Oryctolagus cuniculus: one gene and its partner. Each later gene encodes a partner of the first gene's protein in a complex. Links are inferred from orthologs where the notes say so. Each region holds a gene or a part of one and is shown on either strand. Other genes may lie near its edges.

What was found. Proteins that work in one complex are often made in the same cells at the same time.
Region 2: the proteins of WDR48 (region 1) and USP12 are in contact, whole or in part, in a crystal structure (PDB 5K1C), measured with the Homo sapiens proteins. The link is inferred for Oryctolagus cuniculus from reciprocal best matches to the Homo sapiens genes WDR48 and USP12. Residues at the interface, in NP_065890.1 of Homo sapiens: Arg50, Trp77, Asp118, Tyr119, Lys121, Leu137, Ser170, Tyr172, Thr188, Asp211, Asn212, Lys214, Ser230, Gly254, Trp256, Arg272, Ile363, Ile364, Leu424, Lys425; in NP_872294.2 of Homo sapiens: Arg185, Leu187, Thr188, Cys189, Glu190, Thr191, Ser227, Lys230, Cys236, Arg237, Ser238, Lys239, Gln240, Glu241, His243.

The regions. Positions count from the first base shown.
Region 1 is NC_091441.1:108,262,881-108,266,528, reverse strand, and holds part of WDR48 (WD repeat-containing protein 48), read left to right. Parts: intron 1-81; coding exon 82-184; intron 185-825; coding exon 826-923; intron 924-3,648. UniProt on the Homo sapiens protein: Regulator of deubiquitinating complexes, which acts as a strong activator of USP1, USP12 and USP46. Enhances the USP1-mediated deubiquitination of FANCD2; USP1 being almost inactive by itself.
Region 2 is NC_091440.1:87,430,339-87,433,986, forward strand, and holds part of USP12 (ubiquitin carboxyl-terminal hydrolase 12), read left to right. Parts: intron 1-2,953; coding exon 2,954-3,151; intron 3,152-3,648. UniProt on the Homo sapiens protein: Deubiquitinating enzyme that plays various roles in the regulation of the immune response and inflammation.

The sequences.
Region 1 (3,648 bases):
CTTTATATTTCCTGCCCCTTTAAGCAAGCTGGCAAAACTTGAAGAGCAAAACCAACTAAATAACAAATTTTGTTCCTTTAGACGTTGAAAGGAATCCATAATTTCAGAGCATCAGGAGATTACGACAATGACTGCACAAACCCTATAACGCCCCTTTGCACGCAGCCTGACCAGGTTATTAAAGGTAAGGAAATTAGAAGTAGTGTACTTTGATTGGAGTTTATTGTTACTAACAGAACAACAGGAATGAAGATTTCTTTTAATATAATTTAGATGTAAACTAAAGGCTAATCATGTATTTATTTTAGTACAAGAAAAAAGTTATTTTAAAATATTTAGTGACTTTAGGTGCTTGGGCACTTTAAAATGGGCTTTCTTGAGTTAGGTTTTTTGTCTTGTTTTTTGCCCAGTGTCAGAATAGCCATGGTAAAGCCAACAGCGACTTTATAGAAGGTCTTCATGTTGTTTTTTGGCATAGCCAGGAAAGGACAGATGTGGTCTTTAAGTTCTACACGCTACAGCTGGTTGTGGCAAAAAAACAAAACAAAAAGCCAGGCTGTGTTTGATATCCTAGCTTGGGATTAGAATCTTGCATCCACCTTCCTCCCTAGTTGAGGTGTCTGTGTAGGCATCATTAGCATAGAATCCATTCAGGAGCCTGCAAAAAGAAGGAAGAGGAAAGCGAAAGTGACGCGCCTTGGGTTAGTTGTGCAGTCTTCGGGTTTTCCCTTCTGACGGGTGTGATCCTGTGCAGGCCAGGTAGCACACCATGACTTTAAATGCAGAAGGATCATTGTGCTAATTGTGTTTTTATTTTTCCTGTAGGGGGTGCCAGTATTATTCAGTGCCACATTCTTAATGATAAGAGACATATATTAACCAAAGATACAAATAATAATGTGGCATACTGGGATGTATTGAAGGTGAGTGCCTTTTTAATTAGGGCATGTTCTTTGTTTTTCATTTTGTACTATGATAATGAAGATAATAGATAAAGATTTAATTGTCATATCTTATTTTGGTAATACTTTATTATGTGAATGTTAGATAGAGCCACAGACTTTTTTTTTTATTTAAAGGTCTATTTAGTTAATTATTTGAAAGGTAGGGTGACAGGGAGAGAGAGAGAGAGAGAGAGAGAGAGATGCATTTTTCTGGTTCACTCTCCAAATGTCTATAGCAGCTGAGGCTAGGCCAGGGCAAAGCCAAGAGTCAGGAACTCCACCCAGATCTCCCAGGTGGGTGGTGGGAACCCAAGTACCTGGACCATCCTCTCTCGCCTCCCAGGCATGTTAACAGGGCGCTGGATGGAAAGCGGGTACGGGCCTTGATCCCAGGCACCCCAGTTCAGTCTGCAGCTAGCCCGGCATCACAGTGCCCACCCCACAGCTCATCATTTTAATCACCTAAATTGTTTAAATAAAATCTTTTCTCTGGTTATTCTATTACAAACTCTTATAGTCTGCCTTACCTTAACTACGTCAGAATGTCTCACGCTTTCAGCAGTGGTATTTATGAAGCCTGGGTAGTTCCTTGGCCGTGGGGAGTGGGACAGTTGTCCTGTGCACTGCAGCCACTGAGCAGCATCCCCAGCCCCTTCCCACTCGGTGCTGGTGACAGGTGCTTCCTTCCCTCCACGCTGTGACATCCAGGCATCGCCAGATGTTTGCAGGGAAGAAGGACAAAGAAGGGCACAAAATCATTGAGAACCACTAGAGTAGGAGTATTGGAGTCTTGGATTTCCAGCGACCACTGTAAGCACTATTTATAGCTCTCGTTGTTATGAGGATGGTTCTCTGGCACAGTTGGGATGTGTTAAGCTATTCAATCAACCATATTCAAAAAAGCACTGAAGAAACTCTAAGCAGATTGAAGTTAGTTTGCTTTTATAAATTTTTTTTTTGACAGGCAGAGTTAGAGAGAGAGACAGAGAGAAAGGTCTTCCTTTTCTGTTGGTTCACCCCCTAAATGGCCGCTATGGCCAGTGCGCTGCGCCAATCTGAAGCCAGGATCTGGGTGCTTCCTCCTGGTCTCCCATGTGGGTACAGGGCCCAAGTACTTGGGCCATCCTCCACTGCCTTTCCGGGCCACAGGTCTGCTTTTATAATTTTGATAAATGTCCCTTTTTAGTGTAGTTATTGGTTATCCATTTGTCCAAATATTTCCTGGACTGAGTGACTGTCATGAGGATCATGACTGATGGCAAAGTCTGTAGCATGGAGCCTTCTGGTAGGAGGGAGAAGAACAGAATGTGAGAGCAGATCACAGGATGGCGCATGGCCAAGGGTGGTTCCTTAACTTGGGGAGTCAGGAGAGCCGCATGGTGGAGACATCAGTGAGCCAGGGCATGCAGGCGTCCAGCGGGTGGGCATTTCAGGAAGGAGTGAATGATGAAGGCCCAGAAGAGCGAAGGGGTACGTTTAATTAGTCCACGGTGAGCGGTTTTGTGTTTGGAGATGAGAGTAATGTCAGGGAGCTGCGGGGGTATCAGGATGGAACATGCCTTTTAGGTCATTTCCCAAAGAGTGTGATGTTGCAGGACCCCGCCTTGGCCTTTCTTGGGTACTTCCTGAAGAATCTTCGATAATGTTAGAGCAGGAGAAGCCTGTGGTCAGTGCAGTCGTAGTGTTGTGTGATGAGAAAGTGGAAGCTGGGTGACCGTGGTCTTAAGCATAATAATGTGAGGATCTAGAGAAAGGAGCAGACGTTGGGCATATTACAAATGAAGAACTGAGAAGACCCTGTGTTGTCGTTACGCTCCTGGTTATAAGGAAGAGAAATTCACTTAAGTTGACTTCATGATCTACAGAGTAAATTAAGCAAGTCTCTTACTGGGGAAAAGAGAGCTGTCTCTGACTAGGAACCTTGGCCTGACCCCACCACTTTTCCTCCCTGGGCCACAGCTGTGTGGAAATCCATTAGGAGACAGGTGCTTAGTGAGTTTGGTTTCATGGCAGAACCCCCTAGTTGTTGTGTGGGAAGTTTAATTGTAGTAGGTTTAATTGTAGTAGTAGTGTTGGTGTCATGGGAAGTGTCAGGAGTCTCCAAGGGACGTATATAGGCTGAGAAGAGAAGAAAGCAGTTGTTACTCCTCATGGATGTGGGACAAAGAGGAAGCCACAGAGGTCTGAAAAAGGAGGCTGGCATTGTGGCACAGTGGTTAAGCCATGGCTTGGGACACTGGCATCCCATCGTAGACTACTGGTTCAAGTCCTGGCTGCTCTGCTTCTGATCCAGCTCCCTCTAATGCAGCTGGGAAAGTAGCGGAAGATGGTCCAAGTACTTGGGCCCTTCCCACACGTGTGGGAGTTCCAGCTGGAGTTCCTGGCCTCAGGCTTCGCCCTGGCTCAGCCCCTGCCATTGCAACCGGATGGGGAGTGAACCAGCGGGGAGAACTCAGTCTCTCTCTCTCTTTCCCTTCTCTCTGTCACTCTGCTTTTCAAATAAGTAAAATGTTCTTTTTTAAATTGATAGGGTGGTAACAGAACAAAGGCTGATGGTAGCTCCAGAACTAATTGAGTGTTTTAGAAAGGAGCTGGTAGTTAGTGACATCAGCCTGCTGCACTCGTTTAGGACATGGATGGACTGCACATGTGGATCTTACAGTGAAGAGAGCAGGCTTCTGGAAAGTTCTGTGGGCAACAGTCA
Region 2 (3,648 bases), on another chromosome or scaffold:
AAGTGCATTTGTCCTAATTCTGAGGCCAACTCATTCCCTCGCCTTTCCCCTGCCTTAAAAAACTGCTACCTGTTACACGGTGACAACACGTATTATACTAGTACAGAAAATTCGCCTTCTCTACCTACACTTCCATTGGGAATTTTTAAAGGACACTTTGCTGTTCTGTAAAAATTTTACTTCAGCAGCCCTTCATGGGGTCAATTGAAGATCTAATGTTTAAAGTTGAATTAGTAAATATATACACACACACACACACACACACACATACACAAATATATATGACTGTTGTTATTTTTAAATGATTTCATTTATTTGAAAGGCAGAGTTACAGAGGGACAGACAGAAAGAGGTCTTTCATCTGCTGGTTCATTCCTCAAGTAGCCTTTATGGCCAGGAGTGGGCTGTGCTGAAGCCAGGATTCTGGAGCTCCATCCAGATCTCCTGTGTGGGTGGCAGGGGCCCATGCAGTTGGAACATCTTTTTCTGCACATTAGCAGGGAGCTAAATTGGAAGTGGAGCAGCCAGAACTTGAACACTCCTAAGGAATGCCTATCATAATTACATTATCTCTGTATTATGATTTATTTCAACATTTCCTGTTGTTGAATAGTTAGGATTTTTTACAATATAAAATAACTCTAGAAGTAGATTTTCTCAAAAGTTCTATCTTTGAGATGTTGTGTTTAATGTGGATTTATAGAAATGGTATTACTGAGACAAAGGCCATAAAGGTCCTTCATTCACATTGCTAAATGTGTTTCCAGGAATGATCACTTACTTTCCTTTTGGTCCTTGTTTTTCAAAGGCCAGGCTAGTTGTATTGTAAATATTTCAGGGGCAGTGAGCTGCCCACCACATCTCAGATCTGTAGAATACAGATTTAGTATCATGTTGTAGAATGATTTTTATTTTCAGTGTATTAGTGGCAGTGTCTTTTATTTATTTTTTATTTAATTTTTATTTTAGTGTATTAGTGTATTAGTGGCAGTGTCTTAGTAAATTTTATTTATTTTTAGTGTATTAGTGTATTAGTGACAGTGTCTTAGTAAATTTTATTTATTTATTTGAGAGGTAGAGACCAAGAGAAGGGTCTTCCATCCACTGATTCACTCCCGAAATGGCCACAGCAGCTGGAGCTGAGCTGATCCGAAGCCAGGAGCCAGGAGCCAGGAGCTTCTTCAGGGTCTCCCATGTGGGAACATGGGCCCAAGCAGCTGGCCATCTTCTACTGCTTTCCCAGGGCATAGCAGAGAGCTGGATCAGATAAGGAGCAGCTGAGACTTGAACCAGCACTCCTGTGGGATGCCAGCACCACAGGCAGCGGCTTTACCTGCTACACCACAGCACCGGCCCATAAATTTAATTATTTTAATTGTGAGAAGTACTTTGCTTCACTGAACCCATGTTAAAATCACTTCTGCAACATTTAGCAAATACCTATCACATGCCAGGCCTATTGCAGGACCGTGGAGAAGTAAAAATGAAGGAAATGTTTTCTGCCTGCCAAAGAGTTGAGAGTCTAGAAGAGAAAGACCCCGATCACCTAAATACTTGCTGTGTAATAAGCTCAGTGTCTGTAGGGAGCCTGTGACGCGCTGATGGAGGACTGAAGAGGGAGTAACTTTTGTACCGAGCCCTGAAAGGAAGACTAGACTGTTTCAGGTGATGTAGGTGCTGAGTCCCTCTCAGGGAGATGGAGCACTTCTGGGTGTAGTAAAGATTATTTGCAGCGTGAAAGGTAGCACAATTAAATACTGAACTCCTGAATTTCCAGCCAATTTTAATTCTCTTTCTAGGATAGATATAGCTGCTGTGCCTACCTGGTGAACATCCTTAGTTGACTGATATTTTATGCTTTTTGTTTTTTCAATCTTCTGTTGTCAGTCTATTTTTGCATTATGTAGATTGGTAGAATAAGTGGGCTTCCGTCTACACTCACATCCAAAGGGCTTGGCAGTTTCATGGAACCCATTTTCTCCTCCACTGTCCCTGGACGTCACGTCCATTTAGTCTTGGCATGAAGGATCTGTGTTGGAAAAATACAGATTTCTTAACAAAGGACTGATGCCATTCTTTCTTTCTCTGAAAATATTTATTGAGTGTGGGGTCATGTTATGTTATTTGGTCCTGATAGGTGATTTGGTCTTACAATACTCAGAATGTTGCCTTGCCACTGTAAAAATATTATTTGGATGTTTGGCCTAATTGGGATGCTTGCATCCCGTATCAGAGCGAATGGATTTAAGTCCTGGCTCCACTTCAATTCCAGCTTCTGAGAGGTTCCCCAGGAGACAGCAGATGATGGTTTAAGTAATTGGGACTCTGCTACCCAAAGGTCACCTCGATTGAGTTCCTGACTTGTGGTTTCTACCTTGCCACGCCCTGGCTGTTGCTGGCATTGGGAAGTGAACCAGTGGATGGAAGATTTTTATCTCTTTATTTCTGCCTTTCAAATAAAAAAGTAAATTAAAAAATTTTTAAAGACGCCACTTAGGTACCCACACCTCATATCAGAATACCTAAGTTCAAGTCCTAGCTTCACTCCCAATTCCAGCTTCCTGCTAATTTGCACCTTGGGAGGCAGCAGGTGATGGATCAAGCACTTGGGTCCTTACCACCGACATGGGAGACATGAATTGAGTTCTTGGCTTCTGGCTTTTGCCTGGCCCAGCCCTGACTGTTGTGGTCATTTGGGGAGAGAACCAGTGGATGGGTTCATTCATATTTCTCTTACACACATACACACTCTATTTCTCTCACCACTCTCCCCTTCCTTCCCATTCTCTCCCTCTCAAAAAAAAATAATAACTGGTAGAAATATATAAAAACAGACAGTGTTGGGTTATTAAAAGTGATGATTAACTACTAATTAGATGTCATAAATTTTGATGATTCTTTTTAAGACACAGTGTGGATGTCTTTTATGACTTTTTTATTTTTATTTTTATAGGATGAAAGTTAAAAAACTGCCCATGATTCTAGCTCTACACCTGAAGAGATTTAAGTATATGGATCAACTTCATCGATATACAAAACTTTCTTATCGGGTAGTTTTTCCTTTAGAGCTTCGTCTGTTTAACACGTCAGGCGATGCAACCAATCCTGACAGGATGTACGACCTTGTTGCTGTTGTGGTTCACTGTGGAAGGTAATTGCAACTCTTAGGATGTGGTGGAATTTCTAGCTTAGTAGGGCCAGTGCACATGCAGGATGTTCGCTAGTGATTTGCATGTCAAGCTTTTGGAAAAGTGAGTTCATTTCCAAAAGGACTTTTCAGATACACCTTTACATCATTGCTTCCTTAAAGTGTTATATATTAAAACATTACTACCTTGATTTGTATTCTTACTGTTTAACTCTCTCTGAATATTGCATCTGAGTTCCTAGGACTTTCACATCTGTGGGTTTTTTCTTTTCCTTTCCTTTGTGTATGGGGATGAAGGGTGGTTGGTAAAAAATGGTGCCTAGATAGATTTTGCGAAGTCAGTCATTTCTGAGATTAATTGAATATATTTGCTGTGTTGATTATTATGAAAGCATTTGGAATAGCTCTTCAGAGATCAGCTTTCTAACTTTACTGGTGTGTCTGTTGGTCATTTCCTGTTGGCCAGTTGTAGTGTTCTGTCTCCTTACCCTCCTTCCCAA